Caenorhabditis elegans: one gene and its partners. The protein of the gene in region 2 purifies or fractionates together with the protein of the main gene of each other region. This does not show direct contact. Each region holds a gene or a part of one and is shown on either strand. Other genes may lie near its edges. The genes, in order: usip-1, gly-3, maoc-1 and arr-1.

Region 1 (5,094 bases), on a different chromosome or scaffold from region 2:
ATTCCAACTGCTCTCATGACAGATTCTCGATACGGTTTGATAAAAGTAACGGTAATCAATGGATTGATAACGGGAACCAAAACGGCAAAAAGAAGTGTGAAACTTTCAAGAACTGGAGATTCAACGATCCTCAGCTGACCAAGTAGGAAACAAATTGATGAGAATATAAAAGCAATTGGAACAATAGTCTGAACTGTCAGTGCCTGCAATAAATCATATTTCAAAATAATTTACATTTTCAGACTAACCCAAGTCAGCTGTCTATGTTTTTCTCGAATTTCCGGACGGAGAATTGCATTTCGTAACTTGAAGTGTATTTTTCGGCGGAGCCCATACATAATCAAATATCCAGGGATAATTGGAATAAGCATTAGAAGATATGAAAACAAACACGGAAATTCTCGAAGATCAGCATGTCCATTTATAACAAAATCTTGTAATTTATATTGAGAATGATGAATTTGAATAAGTTGTCGAACATCTTCTGGCTTGTTGTTATCAATGAATACGAAAATTGCTTGCAAGTATGATGGGAAGTATATAATGCAAATTAAAATGATAAGCTGTTTAGCTTTTGGATATCTTTCCAGAAGAACATAACATCGGAATATAAAACAGAGAATTAGAAGATGAAAAGAATATGAATGAAAATGAAGTTGAAGACTGAAACCCAGAAAACAAGACCATTCACTGAGATATTTGCAAAGTCCAGTTGAAGCAATTCCAAGTGTTGTACCACTTGGGATTAATCTGAAATTAATTATATATAGCTCAACTCGCCATTGGAGTATAAAGAAAAAATTTGGGTTCTTTTTTGAAAGTGTAATCTCATGAATTATATATAAGCGTGGAAAACATGAAAACGGCCCTGCTTAATTTTGACATTATTGGAAGAAACTAGAGCATATCGAGAACATGGTGCATTGCTAGGAAATGCAAAATAAAATTTGGAAATTACCTTGATTGACTGAAAATATCAAAAAAACAAGCAAGTGCATCAGATCCACCTCTGACAGTCAATAATATAGAAAATGTTCCAATAGATTTAGGGCTTCTGAATAAAGTTAGAAAAATCAAAATCGTATTGAAAACAATTCCGAGAAAAGCGAGCACATAGTGTAGAATAAATATAACCAAAAGGAACATCTTTGTACATTTTTGATATTTTTACATTTATATACTAAATTCGATTTCCGATTTATGTTATGCTTGTCCTTTTATTCGAATCCCAGCAATCAGAATCGAATTTCCGTTTATTTTTTCGTTTGTAGACGAACTCAATTCCAAATAAAAAATATTATTAATTCAAATTCAATCTTTGAAAGACCGATGTTTATGGAATGATGTTTATAATTTTTAAGCAGGCATAAGTTTTGGTTGATTAGAAGGATTCTGATCAATCAATGCAAATAATTTCTAAGACAATTTTATAAAATTTATTTAATAATTTTTTTTAAAAACAACTTTTTCCCTTTAGAAAGGCAATGCAGAGAAAACTTACTAGACAAATACATACTAGTACTAGGTCCACAACTAAAATTTGTCAATAAAAATTTATTTGAAAATCCGCCACTTACGACACTCCGATATAACGATGCGCGTGTAGTTTATCAACTCAGTTTTTCAGTCATTTTTCGAAAAACTTTTTTATTGCGCGAATCTATTTAAAATTTGTTACTCTTTTTTTATTATTATTCTGATAAACGCAAAATTTAAATCCCTGAATGCGCACGTTCCAATTAATTTGTAACCTATAACAAAATGCAATGTGTTGTTTATTATAATGAAAATTGTTTTGCTCGAATTTTCGACGAAGATTCCCTAGTGTATTCGATTCCATGGCAACGCATGATTCCATTCTCCATCCTCTTTGTTTACCTAAAATTATATATTTTTCCAGATATTTCAGTTATGCGATAATGTCTTCAAACTTGCAACTGGTTGAAACGTTTGATAGTCGTCAATTCGTTGTTGCTCGTTGGAATCGAAATGATACGACAGCTATGGTTCCTTCTGCAATTGCTGTCGTTGTCTTCGTGGAGTCGGTTGAGTATAAACTTGGTTGTAAGGTAAAAAATATTGTTATGCTGTGAAAACAAGCATTTGAAATTAAACCGTTTAGGAGAAAATAGGATACTCTCCAACACCTGAAGATCAAGATCAGTTTATGATATTGCAAATGGAATCAATAGATGAAGCCAACAGGATTTGCCACGATTCCATCGCTAAAGGATTTGCAATCAACAATGTAAATAATTATTTTTAGCTGATTGTATACAATTCCTTTTATTTTCAGACGAAAATCGTGTTCACTCCCCTTCTAGGCTTGAACGGATTCAGACTTCAAGATGCCATTGATTTCATGAAAACTTCGCAACCGCACTTCAATAACGACGAGCTTTTGGAAGTGTTGACAATGGCTATCTGTCAAGAACTTCCTGAACGCTTAAAAATTCTCGAAGATGGATTTTCCTTCATTGAACAAGGGGTTTCTGAGCTCATTCAAAATTCTGCTTGTGAGATGTTCGGCTCTTTTGCATCACCGGTGCGGCGAAATGGTTACTCAGACATTGTAAGTTGTTAGAAAAATAATTTTATTTTATTTTATTAAGAAACAATAATGTTTTTAGGACATTAACGTGGAATCAGTCAGCGCTCCAGGTCAACGCGTTTCTACAAATGTAAGACCATTGAACGAAGTTGTGGCAAATCCAAAGGTACAAAAATTACTGTAAATTGTCCTGAAACAATATACAATTACAGTGTCTCATCACTCATCCACTAACCAAATCGGAGCTTGAGACATACCCACAAGAGGAAATTATCAAAATTCTCTACCGGTGCTTCAACGAGAACAGTGCATTCAAAACTAAATTCGAGATGCGTTTCTTACCTGCACGCACTCCAATCATAGTCTTCAAAAATATCGAAGTGGAAGGAATGAATGTATGTTGACGCTTTCAAACATTGATAATTCATTCATTTCAGGTGTCATACGATCTATCAGTTCACAATCAAATCAGTGTTGAGAAGGCGAGCTTGTTGCATGAATTCATCGTAAAAGACAAGTCGAAGGGAAGTAGAATGAAAAATGCAATGATGTTCATCGTACACTGGGCAAAATCAAATAAGTTGCTATCGGGTGACTATCCGGTAATTATATATTGAATTAGGCAGTTCTTAAACTTCATTATTTTAGGAAGAGAAGCTTGAAGTCAAGACAAAGCTGAACTCTTACATCATCAATCAGCTCGTTATTCATTTTGTTCAAGCAGCAACCAACAAGGTTCATGTGAATCCTCAAGCAAAGCGAGATTCTCGAGTCAATGAATACAACTTTGACACTCTGTTCGGCGATTATTGCAAGTTTTTCCGAGAGCTTTTCAAATACTATGCCAACTTTGATTTTACGAACAAAGCGATTTACGGGAAGAAAGCGATGCAAAAGTAAGTTAAAAACTAATTTCTCACAACTAATTTGTATATTTTTTTTTAGAAAAACACTCTCAAGTGCGCACGGAGGCGTTGAAGAATCTCCGTTGATGTTGATGGATCCCATGGATATTACTCATAATATTTCGGCAAAAGTAACAGAAGACGCGGTCAAACTACTAAATGGTCTTATTCGGAACGCTCTTTTCATTGTAAGCATTATTTTGATTGTTTATGGATTAAAAGTTATATTTTCAGTTGAAACAAAATCATTTTCACATCAACTATCTTCTGGAAACCAACACGATGGCTACTATGCTTATGAAGAGCAGAGAGCCAAAAATCAGTATATCAACTAGAGTAACTGATGGAGCCGAGCACCAGTACTTGTCAGTACAACTTCCAGCCGTGGTGATAACCTCGAGTGATCTTTTCCTCCTTCTTACTAGAGTTCTTCGCTTTAATGTCTGTCCGAATGAGCAAGGACCCAGTGTTGTTGATTTATGTACTCCAACGGTTAGTTCTATAGAATAGAAAGAATGTGACGTTTACAACTACTATTAATTTCAGGGTGCCATTTTCCTTGTAACTTCAAGAGCTTGGGTTGGACGTCGCAATACGAAACGCGCTTTGAAAAACTCTCGTCACGATTTGACGCCTCTCCAGATTGATGTTATGTGCAGTGACAAGTACGATTACGAAGAAGATATTGCGGAGTTGCGTATCTCGATGAGCACTGTTCCTGGCACCAGAATTAGGTTGGCATGCATCGATATAATGCGTGGTCAAGTTTCCGAAGTTCGCGACGCAATCCACTTTTTGATTGATCAATTCATTAACAATAACTACGATGACCTCGAGAAGAATGGCGTTCAAACCATTTCCAGGATTCCAATTGCAGCCCCAACTTGGCCATAATCATGTTCTCAATGTATAAGTGTTCTATGAATTCGATTTGTATGTATGATCCACCATATATTTTATTTCATATTTATTCCGGTATTTTTCTGACACGTCACCCAGTGACCATTTTCCATTGAATCTCAACAAATAATTTTTCCGCTTTATTATATTCAACACCCAACTTTCATGATCACTTCTCGGTCTGTGTTCTATTTATGTATATCGAAATTTCTAAGTTTGAAATACACTGGTCATCTTGAAAGCGATTTTTGAGTTCATTGTCGGTTAATATTCCAATTTATATCTAAAACATCAATTTGAATAGGAAATGTATCAAAACTGTATTCAGATGGATCAGAAGGGTTCACAAAGAGCACTACTGGCACAAACAATAAATGAAATTGTCAAGCTTCTTATTGAAGCTCACAATCAAAAAAAGGATGTCAACTTGAATCGGCTGAAATGCATCGTATGTGGTTAGGCGGTAAAACACATTTCAATAAATATTTTCAGGTTGCTCAAAAGAATGGACTGAGTTTTCAACCGAAACTCGTTGACATTATCGCTGGAGTTCCGTCCGATTACAAAGACAGCCTTCTTCCAAAACTCAAGGCAAAACCAGTTCGAACTGCTTCTGGAATTGCTGTTGTAGCAGTGATGAGCAAACCACATCGTTGTCCTCACATCAATTTCACTGGAAACATTTGTGTCTATTGTCCCGGTGGGCCAGATTCTGATTTCGAGTATTCAACACAAAGT
Region 2 (5,801 bases):
CAATGACCGTTGCTCAAATGCCGATGTCAGCGTTCCCAGCAAATGCAATTTTCGCTGCAGGACCCACGGACATCTCATTACGGCAACTTTCATTAGACCCGATGCCCGATTATATGTATGCAAAGTTGAAAGACGAATGTGCTCTGCCTGATTCTCAACTGGAAAGTTCTCCTGATTTTGGAGGGTGAGACTTTTTTTTTTGATTTGAAAAAATTTAAGCTAAATATTTGAAAATTTAGATTCTACGCGGCTTTTATCGATGATCGTTGGGAACGTGTTCAGTGTATTCGTGCGAGTAAAATTGGTAGGTATATTTATTTATTATTTTATTTACTGTACCAGGAAATTTTTGAAAAAAAAATTTTCGAAAATTACTGTACCAGTTCTCGACACAACAAATTTTCATTAAATACAAGAGGCTGTGCGCTTTTAAAAAGTACTGTAAATCAAAAGATCTCGTTACTTTGGAATTTTTATAGTTTTTCGTAAAAATGTTTGAAATTACAGTACTCTTTAAGACGCACACATCTTTTCATTCAACATAAATTTGTCGCGTCGAGACCGAATACCGTAACTTTGAAAAAAATTGCAAAAATAGTTTTGTAATATTGAACTGTGATTTTGGAAAAATTTAAATATCCTGTTCAAAATTGCACTTTTGAAAAAGTAAATAAAACAATTGTGAGTTTCTCAGTATATCTGAATTTTTCGCACATTTTTCCCAAAAAAAAAAACAAAACATCTACAATCTTGCTGAGTATTATACCTTTTTTCCTTGAAATGTCCATCTTTTTTTTTCAGACAAACAAGCCTATTGTGTATATCTTCTGGATGTGGGCGCTTTCCAATACGTGCGAAAAGAAGCAATGCGACGTCTCAACTCCACGTCACCATTCAAAAAAATGCTGATGTTCAAGTGTAAAATCGGAGGAATCAAACCAGTTGCTGGAGGAGAAGTTTGGAGCCGCGAGTCACATGAAGCTGTTCGAGAATTCTTTGAAGCAGCATGTGGTGAACCTGTTGTGGTAAGTCATGAAAAGAATACTTTCAAATGCAAATTAATTATTTCAGGTTGAACCAACTCAGCCTGGATGGTCTCAATGGAAACAATTAAATGCTCCAGCTGTTCCAACCTGTGAAGCTCGTTTATCTTGTTGTGGTAGAGATATTGGTGACTGGCTCATCGCGTGTGGTTTGGCTCTTCCAATAAATGCACCAATTCCAAGTCCCAATTCACAGTCACTTCTTACTTTTGTTCCAACACCAATTAATATTGTTGGCAGAAATATTTGAATATTTTCTGATCCGTCTTCATTACAAAGCTTCTAATCAATTTTGTGCTTTATTTTTTTCTAATTTTTGAATATTGTATATTTTCATAATTCCTCAGTTTTGCCGATTAGTAGTCTTTCTCTGAAAATTCAAAAATATTTGCTCAGTTTTCCACTTTTCTCTTCAGTTTTTATTCTTTCTAGTTTCATAATTCTGTGATAATTTCAGTTTTATTGTCTTTTAATTATTTTTGTGCTTCTCGTATATTTTGCTTGTTGGAATAATAATTGTTAAAAAATTTTAAAAAATTTGTTCACGGTTTATTAGTTTTGATATAAAACGTGTTCAAATAGACACGTATTAATATTTTTATTTGAATTTTTAAAACCATTTTTTTGTATTCTCTATCACAAAAGTTATCATGTTTTCAATTTTCCAGTACTATTCAAGAAAATTTAGCCTTGTTAAATAATTTTGATCGGAATTTATCTTCTTTTTTCCCCTGAATTTTTAATCATTCTCTAATTTCAGAGTAATTGAATGCTGAGTGTGGGCGGTGGTCGTTCGGCAGTATGTCGTGCTGTCATTGCCACTTCCATCGTCTGGTTGCTCATTGATGTTGTTATTCTTTTTTACTATCTCGATCCATCCACATCACAACAACAGCCATTTCCGGAGGATAACAGGTATTCTATTAAAATTATTTACATCAACTAATTGTTATCATTTTTAAGAATCTTGAATCGTGCTCGACGGATAGAACCACTACCACCAGCAGCTCAACATGATTCAGATCCAGATGCTCATCCTATTCAACCTGAAAAACAAGAGAAACAAGTTTACCCCGTTGACAAAGAAACTGCAAATCAATTGAGGAAACTTATGGAAAGTGAGCTATTGCAAAATATAAAAATTTATATTTAAACAATTGTGTATTTCAGCTCAAGCATTTGGCCCAGGGTACCATGGACAAGGAGGTACTGGAGTCACAGTTCCAGAAGACAAAAAAACTATAAAAGAGAAGAGATTCTTGGAGAATCAATTCAATGTTGTCGCTTCTGAAATGATTTCAGTTAATAGAACTCTACCGGATTACCGATCAGATGCATGCCGCACGTCTGGAAATAATTTGAAAACTGCTGGAATGCCAAAAACTTCCATTATTATTGTTTTCCATAATGAAGCATGGACAACACTATTGAGAACACTCCATTCGGTTATCAATCGATCGCCACGTCATTTATTGGAAGAAATTATTTTGGTGGACGATAAGTCTGATCGAGATTACTTGGTCAAACCGTTGGATTCCTATATCAAAATGTTCCCAGTAAGTTATATAAGTTGAATTGTAAATTGCGACTTCCGAAATACAGTAACCCTAGTTCTTCGTTAAAGGATGGAGACAAAAAATTTCCATCTCAGGGATAGCCAGAACACAGAAAATTTGAATAATAAAACGAAAATTTTTCGATTTTTCGATATTAGACTTAAACAGACAACCTTTTTTCAGATTCCAATCCACTTGGTTCATCTCGAGAATCGATCCGGTCTAATCCGTGCTCGCTTAACCGGATCTGAAATGGCGAAGGGAAAGATCCTTCTCTTCCTGGATGCACATGTGGAGGTTACCGATGGATGGCTTGAACCACTTGTATCAAGAGTCGCTGAAGACAGAAAACGAGTTGTTGCTCCTATAATTGATGTAATTTCTGATGATACCTTCGAATATGTGACTGCTTCCGAAACAACATGGGGTGGATTTAATTGGCATTTGAACTTCCGATGGTATGCTGTACCGAAGAGAGAATTGAATAGAAGAGGATCAGATAGATCAATGCCTATTCAAACACCAACTATTGCCGGTGGTCTTTTTGCTATTGATAAGCAATTTTTCTATGATATTGGAAGTTATGATGAAGGAATGCAAGTATGGGGTGGAGAAAACTTGGAGATATCATTCCGAGTCTGGATGTGTGGAGGTTCTCTTGAAATTCATCCATGTTCTCGTGTTGGACACGTTTTCCGCAAACAGACTCCATACACTTTCCCAGGTGGAACAGCGAAAGTCATCCATCATAATGCAGCACGTACAGCAGAAGTTTGGATGGACGAATACAAGGCATTCTTCTACAAAATGGTGCCAGCCGCCCGTAACGTTGAAGCTGGAGATGTTAGCGAAAGAAAGAAGTTGCGAGAGACGTTGCAATGTAAATCATTCAAGTGGTATCTGGAGAACATCTATCCAGAAGCACCATTGCCTGCAGATTTCCGATCGCTTGGAGCAATTGTGAATAGATTTACTGAAAAATGTGTTGATACGAACGGAAAGAAAGATGGGCAAGCTCCAGGAATTCAAGCATGTCATGGTGCTGGTGGAAATCAGGTTTGTGCTTTTGATTTGACGTTAAAATACTGTATTACCCAAAAGCGAGATTTTTTGATTTTTGCGGTACTACGGTACCCGGTCTCGACACGACTAACTTTCGTTAAATGCAAAAGGGTACGCCCCTTCAAAGTATACTGTAATTTCAAACTTTTTTTGACGCGGAAACTTCATCAAATTATCATAGAATTTCGATAACGATATATTTGACTGCTTGAAAAACTCAAATAAAACAATCAAAACAGATAACTTTAAAAAAACAATTTGAAATCGGTGAAAATTCCGCGGCACCAAATGTTAAAAACTACAGTATTCTAAAAAGGCGCAAACTTTTTTGGAATTAACTAAAGTTGATCGTGTCGAGACCGAGTACCGTATTTTTGGCGCAAAAATAACTGAATTTCGCTTCTGATAACAAAACAATTAATTTCGTATCTTTGAAATTCCTCTTTACCAAAAACGACAGTACCCTTCCTAAAAACATTAATTCGCGTTATTTTTATTAATGCTTTTTACTAACACTTTCAACTAACAGACTATACAATTTGCTGATGGCCACAAACTACTAATAATATCTGATCAGCGAGATATGAGATATGAACGGGCTCCGTTTCTTGCGAATTATCAGGTTTTGGTGAAGAGAGTGAATTGGGATGGTTTTTATTTTAAGTTTTGGGAAATATTTAAGTTTGGGATTTACCGGTGAAAACTACGTTTCTCTCTCCCCTCTCTATATAACTCGTATTCTAATATTAAACATTAAATAAGTTCCAGGCATGGTCATTGACTGGAAAAGGAGAAATTCGATCGGATGACTTATGTCTTTCATCTGGACATGTATATCAAATAGGATCAGAGCTCAAATTGGAACGTTGCTCCGTGAGCAAAATCAATGTTAAACATGTTTTCGTGTTTGACGATCAGGTAAGAGAACCAGAATTTTACATTTTAAGCTCAGCAAGTAAAGAACATTATCTTAATTCGGAAAATACTTTCTAGTTTATCTATACACTAAAATTTTTTTCCGCTATTTCAGGCCGGTACATTGCTCCACAAGAAAACAGGAAAATGTGTAACAGGCGCCGATCAACGGGTGACACTGGATGAATGTGGTCTCGGACGGAAAGATCAAATGTGGCAATTAGAAGGATATCAGAGCCCTTAGAGCATCTTTTATTTTATTTTTATTCTCATAAAACGTCACAATTTCTTATTTTCTCCCATTATATCCTCCCATTTTCCACATTTTCAGTATTGATTTCAGTCCAAAATTCTCTCTCGGTGTCCATCGTTTTCCTATTTTCCCTCTCAAAATCGTCCATACCACCAGTGCCTTCATATTAGAGTTGCGAGTGCACTCTAACGAGAATTTGTGAGAAAAATTCAACTTTTTCGGCCTATAATAATTGTAATTTATGTAATTGTGATAGCCTTTGAGATTCGAGCATAATTTATTTATTGATCCCCCATTTCCCTTCAAAAATATCCATTTTCATTGCATTTCACTCCATTCTCAATCCATTCCAAAATCGTTTTGGTTGTGAAACTCTATTACTACGTCTCTTTTTTTCCTTTTACGAGTTCAATAATAAGTTGAAATTTAAAAAAAAGTTTATTCTACAAAAGTCAATGTTCAGGTAGCTTTCATAAGAATCGTGACATCTCCTTGTTGAGCACCAGCTTTGAGTGGTCCCCTGAGCATCTGTCTCATCAGCAGGAACTTCAGCATATTGAAGCATGGTTTTTTTATCATCTTTAACCTGTGACCTTCGATGCGAATTGTCTCAAATTTCATTGTTCCTTTTGCCTCGACAAATCCATATACGGGACGAACTCGGTAGTGCTCATTATTTGATGACTTCGCCGAAATATAACATTTGTTCTGTTTCCGTTTCAAGGGGACATGATTTTTTAAAATGGTCTCTCTATGCGACCTGCATTTAGAAAACATTTATGTACAGTTTTTGCAAAAATTGCAGATTTAGGTTTGCAGATGCAGAAAATTGTGAGCAAGACTAATAGATATGTGAATGAGACGAATAAATTGCGACCTACATGTAATATTTTGTACAGTTATCTTCAAGGCGCACAATACAAAACTGATTAGAAAAAATGTAGTGTGCGCGGCGAGACCATTTTTGTATAA
Region 3 (3,520 bases), on a different chromosome or scaffold from region 2:
GAGTTTCTTTCTGTTCGTCAGTCATATTCAGAGGATACGGAAACACCTGGAAATTGGCAGTTTGAACAGGTCCTGCTAAAATTCTCAAATACCTGGTCAGTCACAGCTTTCCCTCTGAAAAGATTCATGACAAATGATGGACTGTCCACTGCAGCGACCTTCTTCGGTTTTGCATCTTTTGCAGCAGCAGCAGAATGCGAAAGACGAATGAATCGTGTTTGGTTGAGCCGTGCAGATTTACTCAGCGTTGACAGCATCGTTTCTCTGGAAGAAAAAACCAATAATATAGGTTTCAATCAGTGAATCAGTAGGGGGTAAATAGCGATGACGGAGATAAAGAGTGAAGAAAACAACTTGGGGGTCGAACGGTGGATAGAGCAGAGACGCAGCATGTGAGAGAACATAGAACACAGACATAACAATACTTTTTTACACTGAACGTCCAAGAGCAATCAAAATAAATAGAATTCAGAATAAGTTTTATAGAAAAGTATTTAGCATTTTATATGAACGCAAAAAAGAACGAATAGGTTTTTTGCTTTTTTTGGATTACATAAAAGAGTGTTTCATAAAATAAGAAGTTTAAAAGTTAACTAAAAATAACTGGAAACATGGTTTGCTCAGTATTTTTCGTAAATTTTCCATAATAAACTGATTAATCGCCAACATACACAAACGATGGAGAGGAAACGTGGAGGACGGTCATTGTTATCTCTTGTAGACTTTGCCCTATGTACTTTGAACGGCCCTGGCTACGCACTAGTGAAAAGACAATGTGATAAAATACACTTTAGCGCAGGTTCGATGAAATTTTCAAGAAAAACATGATTTTATAGCTCTACGGGTCACCTCATGGTACTGAAAAATTCGTATGAACACTTGTTGTCTTATATTTTATCTTTAACGGCCACAAAATAAATTAAAATAGAAAAAAAACGACAATTACAGAAGTTTTCTGCATCGTACTCTGAAAGAAAAATGAATCCGCAATCTGTCGTCACGGTGTTACGGTGGTGTGTTCACACCGTCGGCACTATATTTGACGGCTCATGTTTTAATGTTTTTTACATCTGAATAAATCTGTACATTATAGAAACGAACCGTATGGAATTTGGAATTCTTTCAATGTACGAAAGTGAACGAGTGAAAATATAAACTAATTTAGCGAATGCACAAGTTTGAAAACGTGTGAATTTTTCGGAAGGCTTTTACGCGAAAAAATAAGCTTTATTTTTTTAATTAAAGAAAGAGAAATGGTTCGTAGAATGGATACTGTAATTTAGCTATTTAACAGTCGACAAACAATCCTTGGTTGTTTAAATATCGGAAAAAATAAATCGACCTTCCATGTTAATTTTATTGAACAGACGACAAGGCGTCATAGGTATTTGATGAATGTTTCTGAATTAAGAGAAATCTGAAACTGGTCTATTAATTTTTGTGCGTGCTTCGCTTCAAAATTCAAAACGAAGGAAATTTATTCGATCATTTTCTATAAGTTGAAACCCAAATACTATAGTATACTATGAACACGTTGTACATCTCTCCCGACAAAAGTCTAGTTTTTATATATTTTTTAATTGAAATTTAAAGCCTTGTATACTTTTTTTGCAAATTATTTAAAACATCTAATAATTATCAGTATGTGGTAATAATTCTTTTAGTGCTTATTTTTAAAAAAAAACTATTGATTTCACCCTCGTTATGTAGTCTGCAGCGTAGTCTTATCAACACATGGGGTCAAGACTACACTGTACCGATTCCTTGTTAGGTATTGGCATTTTCTATTTCATTATTTGGTTTTTGTTTCTTCTCCGACAAATACTTAAAAATGGATAAGAAAACTGCTTGCGCACATGTGGCAGAGCCATGCGAGTTCTCATATTCTACCAGAGATGCTATTATTTATGCTCTTGGAGGTAATTTTTTCTAAGACCTTTTGAATAGTGATTAATAATTTCATTTAGTTGGTGCTCGAGCGAAAGAAGATTTGTGCTACGTTTATGAGAACCATGAAGACTTTAAAGTGCTTCCATCGTACATTGTTGCTCCAGGATTTCAAGCTCACACTTTGATGGATTGGCCAGGAGTTGAATTTGATCTTCAGAGGTTTTTCTTATAAGATTTCTTGAAAACACATGTTTAATCATTTTAGAGTTCTTCACGGAGAACAATATATTGAAGTCTATCAACCACTTTCAGCAGAAGGAAAATTGAAATCTGAAGCTAGAGTCGTTGATATTCTTGACAAAGGATCCGGTGCTTTGATTCTTGGAAATGTTACCACTTATGATGAAAATGGAAAGAAGATTGCAATGCAACAATTCAGTACTTTTCAAACCGGTTCTGGTAACTTCGGAGGGGATCGTACATCACCTCATGAAATAAAAGCTGCCACTGTCCCAGATAGAGCTCCAGATGCAGTTATTGAACAAAAGACAACAGTTGATCAAGCTGCTCTTTATCGTTTGGGATCAGGAGATATGAATCCTCTTCACGTTGATCCAGAGTTTGCTAAGATGTCTGGATTCAAAACTCCAATTCTTCATGGATTGTGCAGTCTGGGATTTGCGACACGCCATGTTATCGCTGCTTGGGCTGGAAATGATTCTGACAAATTCAAAGCAATCAAGGTAGGTTTGATTAAATTTAACTTTAAAATATTTTCTGCTGATTCAAAAATCATTAATTTTCAGGTTCGATTCTCATCGCCAGTGCTTCCAGGACAAACATTGGTTACTGAAACCTGGAAGAATGGAAAACGAATTATTTTCCAAATGAAGGTTAAGGAAACTGGAAAAATTGTAATTTCCAACGCCTTTATTGACTTGCACGAGGCTTCCGAACTTCCAACAGTTCCAATTGATCTTGCATCAAAATTGTAAAAATTTAAAGAATTATTTATTCACTGGTAAGATTAAGTAGATCGTATTAGTTTTATCGTATTTTGTTTCCTGAATATCATATGTGAATAAACCGTTTTTTTCTTTTTCCACAAATTCTCTTGAAGATTATTATTTCCTTTTCTTCTTCCCAACAATATCATTGACTCCTGGGAATGTTACACCAACACCTGTATTCACCCCAACACCAGCCATCGGAACACCAACTCCAAAGTTTGTACCAACTTGACCATTTAGATAATCAACTCCAACGTGTTGATTCTGTTGATAATAAGGTCCAACTCCACCTCCAACATCTACGCCAATTGGTTTTCCAGCCTCTCCAGGTTTAAGGGGAACACTCACCTGAAATATTTTGATAGGAACTTATTCAACTTGTCACACACCGCTTCAAATATTAAAAAATGTACGCAATGCTTCTCTAAACTCGAATTCAAATTATGAACCGCCAAATTTGAAAAAGTTCGAGTAATAAATTTTCTGCATTAAAAAAACTCACAACAGCATGTGTGTCTCCTTCAATACCAAGTGATTGTACAAGTGGAACACTCCATCCAGACTTATATCCATATTTTCCTTCATACCAATTTGCTCCGATTTCTTGATATTGTGACCAA
Region 4 (5,529 bases), on a different chromosome or scaffold from region 2:
CCGAATTTGACAATGCACTGACCGAATTTGACAATGCACTGACCTAATTTGAAAACGCACATATCGAATTTGAAAAATGCACTGACCGAATTTGAAAATGGACTAATCGAATTTGAAAATTCCCAGGGCCAAACTTCTGAATGCACTGACCAAACTTCTGAATGCACTGACCAAACTTCTGAATGAACTGACGAAAGTTCGGAATGCACTGATCAAAGTTCTGAATGCACTGGCCAATTAAAAACAAATCTTCAACTTACTTGCTTTCAAATTTTCTCATAAGTTTTTTCAAGTTGTAAATTGATTTCATACACATATTATTTAGTCAATTAAATGATTTTTTGTATTTTTATAGATGTTTTAGTTTTTTTTTCTAGATTATCGTTGAATTCAGACCCACAATCTGAAAATTACATAGAAGGTTTCTGATAGCATTCCAATAATTAACAACAACAATTGAAATATTATTTGAAACCTTTGAATCTGATTTTTAAAAATAAATTGGCAAAATAGATTTATATGAGAAAAAATGAAATGAAAGAAAACGAAAAAGGTGACAATTTGACAGAAAAATTGACTTGAAGCATAGACAAAAAGATGTACTTACAAAGAAACAATGAAAAATGGGGAAAAGGTGGAAAAGACGTAGAAAAGTTGAATGACAGAGTGACACAATATCATGTGATAAATTGTACAGATTCATAGAAGGCTTGGCGGCAAGTTGGCGCTTGGCGATGGCTGGTCTTCACTATCGTTTCCGTGGAGACGCATTCTGGCAAAATCCTCAAAGATTAGATCGTCGTCGTAGCGGGGCTCTCTGAAAAATCATTGTGTATTAAATTGAATCATTCAACTCTAATCAAAAACTTACAATTCTTCGTGTAGTTGGATGAGATCAATATCGACTGGTTCGGAGCCATTTGTTGCTTCGATTGATGGAAGGCCACGATCCTGAAATTGAATAATATGGATTCAAAATTTGATTCGTAAAAAAATTATTTTGAAAATTAAAACCTACCGTTCTCTCGGGGCTCTCTGGAGGCTTCGAGTGTGTTAATGTGAACGGCAGCTCGGCGAACAGTTCTCCGTTTAGTGGTCCAAGAACTGCGCGAACTTTCACTCTGTATTGAACTACAATTCCAAGACTTTCCTTTGATGTTTTAGAGTCCAATCTGCAAAAAATTAATTATTTGATTGCCAAAATATTTTTGCTCAAACTCATATCATTGTTGTCTTGGATTTTGACGTACAATTGTTAACTAAGAATCATGCTATAACACATTTTTGAACTAAAATTTTTTGTATATACACGCATATCGCCTGGCTAGTGAATACCAACAAAATTTATCATAATTTGAATTGTCGAATGGTAAGCAAGCTTGATACATATTGTAGAAAATTTCTAGTTTCCTTTTTCAAATCAATCCTTTAAATTGGAAGGATTTTTTGGTTTTCTTAAACTTAACATTGACGATATATTTGTTCTGTAACTTATAAATTGCCCATTTGCCGGTAGCCTGGTCTCGGCAGCCAACTTGTAAATAGTTCGTTGAACTATGCAGTATCGTTTCAATGTACATATAGCATTTCTTAGTGGTTCTTTAGTGTGCTAATTAAATATTAAAAAAAGATAAATAAATGTCTCACATCCTATCCAACTGTTTCTGAATATCCTTTGAAATTTCCATTGAAAATAATCGACAATTTTTTTGTTCATAAAAACCCCCCGGTTCTCCATTAGTGAGCAGATATGCATTCCAAACATACATTCCTCTTTCCAAAACGTTATCCAATTAAACATCTCAATTCGTTCCCCACTCTCCTGAACTCTTTTGCTTAACATAAAAAGTGTATCTAAGTAGATGGAGAACTGGCGAAATTCGTTTGTAGAAGGAGACGGGGGGAAATTGAACCTTCTGAGTAAGGAAATGGCGGAAGTTTACCCTCTCTTTTCCCTTTCCCCCCATTTTCTTCTCTCGGCATCCCGATATATATATATGTTTGCGCGCCCTCTCTTTCCCTTTCCTATCGACTTTATACTCACATTGTGCTTGAAGCTAAATTAGTGTCCTCATGCTTGAGTTGTCCATCCAATGCGAGCCCTCGCTTGTCCTTGTTGTTGCTCAATAGAGGACACACTGCGAAGACCTTTGAAAGAGTGCCGCCTGGTCCGACTGGAAATCCTTCGCTGAAATAAATATTGGATTAGAGGACAAAAATAGATTGTGGAATGAGGAATTGAATATTAAAATAGAGATGGACACTTATGTATGAATTGTTTTGTACAAAAAATGAGGCGTAGAAAAATGAAAATTACTGAAACTTTTTTTAGGGGATACGAAGAGAATTGAAGTATTAAAACGTCAAATTTTGCTACATGGGAACAAGAAACAATCAATTGTGCATCTCCTGTACCTCCGTTCTAGAAATGACAGTGAACTGTGGAAAACTAGAATGTTGTAAGAGTAGTGTAGCGCTAGTAGGGCAGAATGCGAACTGATGTACTACTTTTTCGAATCAAATGTATTATAGTAAAACAAAAATCTTACTTGCTCTCAATCCTGGCAACCTCGCAGGAATACGAAGCAGTTGTGAAGAGACAAATATCAGCAACTTGAATGATGTAAATCTTCAGCTTCTTGACCGTCTTGTTGCTGTTGTTCTGGATGTGCACATTAACTGAAATCGACTCGCCGTGGTAGTACATCTAAAATTTGAACGTTTATCTTAACATTGAATTAAAATAATTCGAGGTACCTCTTTATCCAGGGAGACCTCCATATGGAGAAGTCCTGAGGACATCATAAAGTACTTGGATACATCGACCATTGGCTGGGGACGGGATTCAAATGGTGCGTAGGTCAGTTTTCTGATGGCAAGACGGACAGTGTTGCTAAGTGCGCTAAAAATTAATTTCCGTTGTTGTAATCCATATATTATTCTAAATACTTACCTCTTTTTCGGCTTCTCTCCACTACTTCCGTCAGTTACTGCCACAAATGTTTTCAGCTCGTAGTCCACTCCACATGGCTTGCCGGTGTCTCCGGGGGCTGGCTGAAATTTTGATAGGCTTTAACTACTAAATTCATAACATTGAATTCATAAGAAAAAACAGGCCACAAAAAAACAAAACCAACCTGTAGAGTAACACTACTTGCACTTTTTGGCGCAACCTCAAACCAAAATGGAAACGCGTTTGCACCAAGTTTTCGCTTCAGCCGTTCTTGCAGTCTAGACAACGGTCGAGAAATTGATTTATCAGTCTGTGGATACACTTGGAATGTCTCTGATATCAAATCCTTTCGAAATGTGAGCCCTAACACGTCGAGGTCTTCTCGGCCATATCGGAAAGCTGCTAGCAGATGGGCTGTCACTTTTCTGTTGTCTTTGATGTACTCCTCGTCGATCAAAACCATTCCATCTAAAATTAATTCTTAATAGGGTAAAATTTTTTGACTACTCCCGTCTTAGTCGCACTATTCAGTAATTGCGTTCATTTCTATGTTGTCAGTGCTATAACATTTTTGGTCAGTGCTATAACATTTTTTGTCAGTGCTATGACCAATAAAAGCGTTTTCCTTATTTTGTACGTCGAATAGAAAATTTGCGAGGTTTCTGCCAACCGACTTCCATACTCAGAAAACGCGCAAAAAACCAATCAACGCTCTAAACCAAATCACGCGATAAACCAGTCAGTATAAAGCCCACATTCTGTGGCTCGGTGCCCTTATTCTCACCTATCAAGTCGACATAGTCACCGCGGTCGATAAAATCTCTTTTGCCAAGATATGTGGTTATTTTTCCATTTGGGCTCGTCTTTTTGAACACTCTGCAAAATTTGTCTTTTTTTATATACGTTTAAAGTTAAAAAAAAATTATTTTCCCAGTTCCACCAACCTTGTGCCCGATTTTTTGTCCTCATCTACCATTGTTGACTAGTAAACTAGCAATCGAGCTGAAAATTGAAAAGTGAACGAAATTGAGAAATGAATGACACCTAGGCAAAAAAAAGAGAGAAAAAGAGAAAAACGTAGCGAGAATAAGCGTCAAACTTTGAATAAATCATACGCGTTACGAATTGAATTCTGGATTCGAGGATAAAATTGGAGGAAGCAAGAATTATTTAAGACAAAGGATATGGAGTCGATAGCAGTAGCTGTGTTGCCAGTTGCTGACGTAATAAAAATAATTTAATTAAAATATGAAGCGAACCATTTGAACCTATTAAAACGTTCCAACTATTTTTTATTGAAAATAATAATAATAAAAAAAAGATCGAAGATTCATATGTTTATTGTTCACTGTAAAATTTGTATGTGGCGGAAAAGTTGACTAATACATTGAAAACTTGGTCAGTGCTATTTTAATGATGCTCAAGTTGGTCAGTGCTATTTTAATGCTGCTCATGTTGGTCAGTGCAAAAAATATGGCAAGTGTTTCACAGCTGAATATAAGATTTAATTTCGAGAGCGGCATAAAACTTGAAAATAATTTACTCCTTAATAACAGGTGTAAAATACCTAGATTAGTTGATCTGAATGAATTTAGATTAACTTTTAGCTGAGGTTTTGACCTTTTCATACTGGCTACTCTTATAATAAAACCAAAATTAGTTATTAAAATTATCTTAATTGAGTTAAATTGAATACCTTCTTAGGTATTGTACATATGTACACATAGGTTTCAATTTTTCCTACTCCCAATCTCGTTATTATCTGGTTTCCAATTTCTCTGTGCCAACAAAAATGTGACATGAATCGATATAGCTATTAGTTATTAATTAGGTTCTGAAGCTTACATTCTAAACTTTCTAGTACTTTCAAGTTATTTTTCTTAATTAAAACTTTCAAAAACCACAAGTCTAAGCGAAAAAATGTGTGCAGTGAGAGAGAGATGGAGAGCAAAAAATTAGCATGTATGTTTGGCCAGGAGTCCTCATTTGAAAACAAATGATGCGGTCGGGGGCGTCCGCAATTGCGCCACAAACGACGACACATTGCGTACGCCTCCTTCTCGAAACCGGTGAGGATGATCGGGCGGATTGAGACACCGCACAGAGAGTGAGATGAAGAGAGGGAGAGAGCACCCACCAATGCACCCATAAACCCCTCTTCCTCCCTTCTCTATCCCTTGTAATATCTCATTGTGTATGTGTGTGTGTCTATGTCACAATTGTGTCGTCTCTCATTCTCTCGTTGTATCTCTGTTTGGAAAAATAGGCAAAGAGAGAAAGAGAGAATACGCGAAAAACAGCCTATTAACTTTACTTTTCTCGCTTCTTTTTTTTGTTGCTCAATACCACCTTAACCGGTTTGTTTATTGATTTTGGCATTGTTATTGAGCTGTTTTTGACATTGCTTTTCTACATCGAACATTTTCTTTATAACTTCCTTTTTGAAAGACAACTTGCAGTGATTTGTTTTTAAAAAAATTGTTAAAAGCTCAATTCTTTGTCCAACCATGACAGTTAATCATTTGAACACAACTTTAAAATTTTGGCAAGCTTTTAATTTCAAATGTAGCGATTAC

Evidence for each region.
Region 1: the proteins of gly-3 (region 2) and usip-1 fractionate together in Caenorhabditis elegans (co-fractionation; one large-scale study listed by BioGRID). This does not show direct contact.
Region 3: the proteins of gly-3 (region 2) and maoc-1 fractionate together in Caenorhabditis elegans (co-fractionation; one large-scale study listed by BioGRID). This does not show direct contact.
Region 4: the proteins of gly-3 (region 2) and arr-1 fractionate together in Caenorhabditis elegans (co-fractionation; one large-scale study listed by BioGRID). This does not show direct contact.

The regions. Positions count from the first base shown.
Region 1 is NC_003283.11:12,181,001-12,186,094, reverse strand, and holds usip-1 (U6 snRNA-specific terminal uridylyltransferase), read left to right. Parts: upstream 1-1,900; 5' UTR 1,901-1,919; coding exon 1,920-2,069; intron 2,070-2,122; coding exon 2,123-2,248; intron 2,249-2,296; coding exon 2,297-2,572; intron 2,573-2,630; coding exon 2,631-2,717; intron 2,718-2,763; coding exon 2,764-2,946; intron 2,947-2,988; coding exon 2,989-3,153; intron 3,154-3,199; coding exon 3,200-3,447; intron 3,448-3,496; coding exon 3,497-3,644; intron 3,645-3,690; coding exon 3,691-3,948; intron 3,949-4,002; coding exon 4,003-4,350; 3' UTR 4,351-4,594; downstream 4,595-5,094. Other genes in the region: srd-4 (G protein-coupled receptor), read right to left, coding at 1-203, 249-750, 959-1,146; elpc-3 (Elongator complex protein 3), read left to right, coding at 4,685-4,804, 4,849-5,094. UniProt on the Caenorhabditis elegans protein: Acts as a specific terminal uridylyltransferase for U6 snRNA. Responsible for the addition of UTP at the 3' end of U6 snRNA which stabilizes U6 snRNA. Does not have activity towards modified uridine containing 3'-monophosphorylation or 2'-O-methylation.
Region 2 is NC_003281.10:7,913,770-7,919,570, reverse strand, and holds gly-3 (Polypeptide N-acetylgalactosaminyltransferase 3), read left to right. Parts: upstream 1-1,803; 5' UTR 1,804-1,812; coding exon 1,813-1,958; intron 1,959-2,006; coding exon 2,007-2,161; intron 2,162-2,213; coding exon 2,214-2,599; intron 2,600-2,782; coding exon 2,783-3,655; intron 3,656-4,429; coding exon 4,430-4,579; intron 4,580-4,691; coding exon 4,692-4,820; 3' UTR 4,821-5,260; downstream 5,261-5,801. Other genes in the region: Putative protein tag-250, read left to right, coding at 1-184, 240-304, 802-1,025, 1,072-1,293.
Region 3 is NC_003280.10:7,194,507-7,198,026, forward strand, and holds maoc-1 (MaoC-like domain-containing protein), read left to right. Parts: upstream 1-1,769; 5' UTR 1,770-1,831; coding exon 1,832-1,919; intron 1,920-1,967; coding exon 1,968-2,109; intron 2,110-2,155; coding exon 2,156-2,633; intron 2,634-2,696; coding exon 2,697-2,885; 3' UTR 2,886-2,989; downstream 2,990-3,520. Other genes in the region: acdh-12 (Very long-chain specific acyl-CoA dehydrogenase, mitochondrial), read right to left, coding at 1-46, 93-257; E04F6.6 (uncharacterized protein), read right to left, coding at 3,015-3,248, 3,403-3,520.
Region 4 is NC_003284.9:949,208-954,736, reverse strand, and holds arr-1 (Beta-arrestin arr-1), read right to left. Parts: upstream 3,956-5,529; 5' UTR 3,930-3,955; coding exon 3,898-3,929; intron 3,830-3,897; coding exon 3,738-3,829; intron 3,422-3,737; coding exon 3,138-3,421; intron 3,055-3,137; coding exon 2,954-3,054; intron 2,903-2,953; coding exon 2,758-2,902; intron 2,708-2,757; coding exon 2,550-2,707; intron 2,189-2,549; coding exon 2,045-2,188; intron 1,173-2,044; coding exon 1,019-1,172; intron 952-1,018; coding exon 872-951; intron 818-871; coding exon 700-817; 3' UTR 504-699; downstream 1-503. UniProt on the Caenorhabditis elegans protein: Adapter protein required for olfactory adaptation and recovery to volatile odorants, probably by desensitization of G-protein coupled receptors (GPCR). May play a role in clathrin-mediated GPCR endocytosis.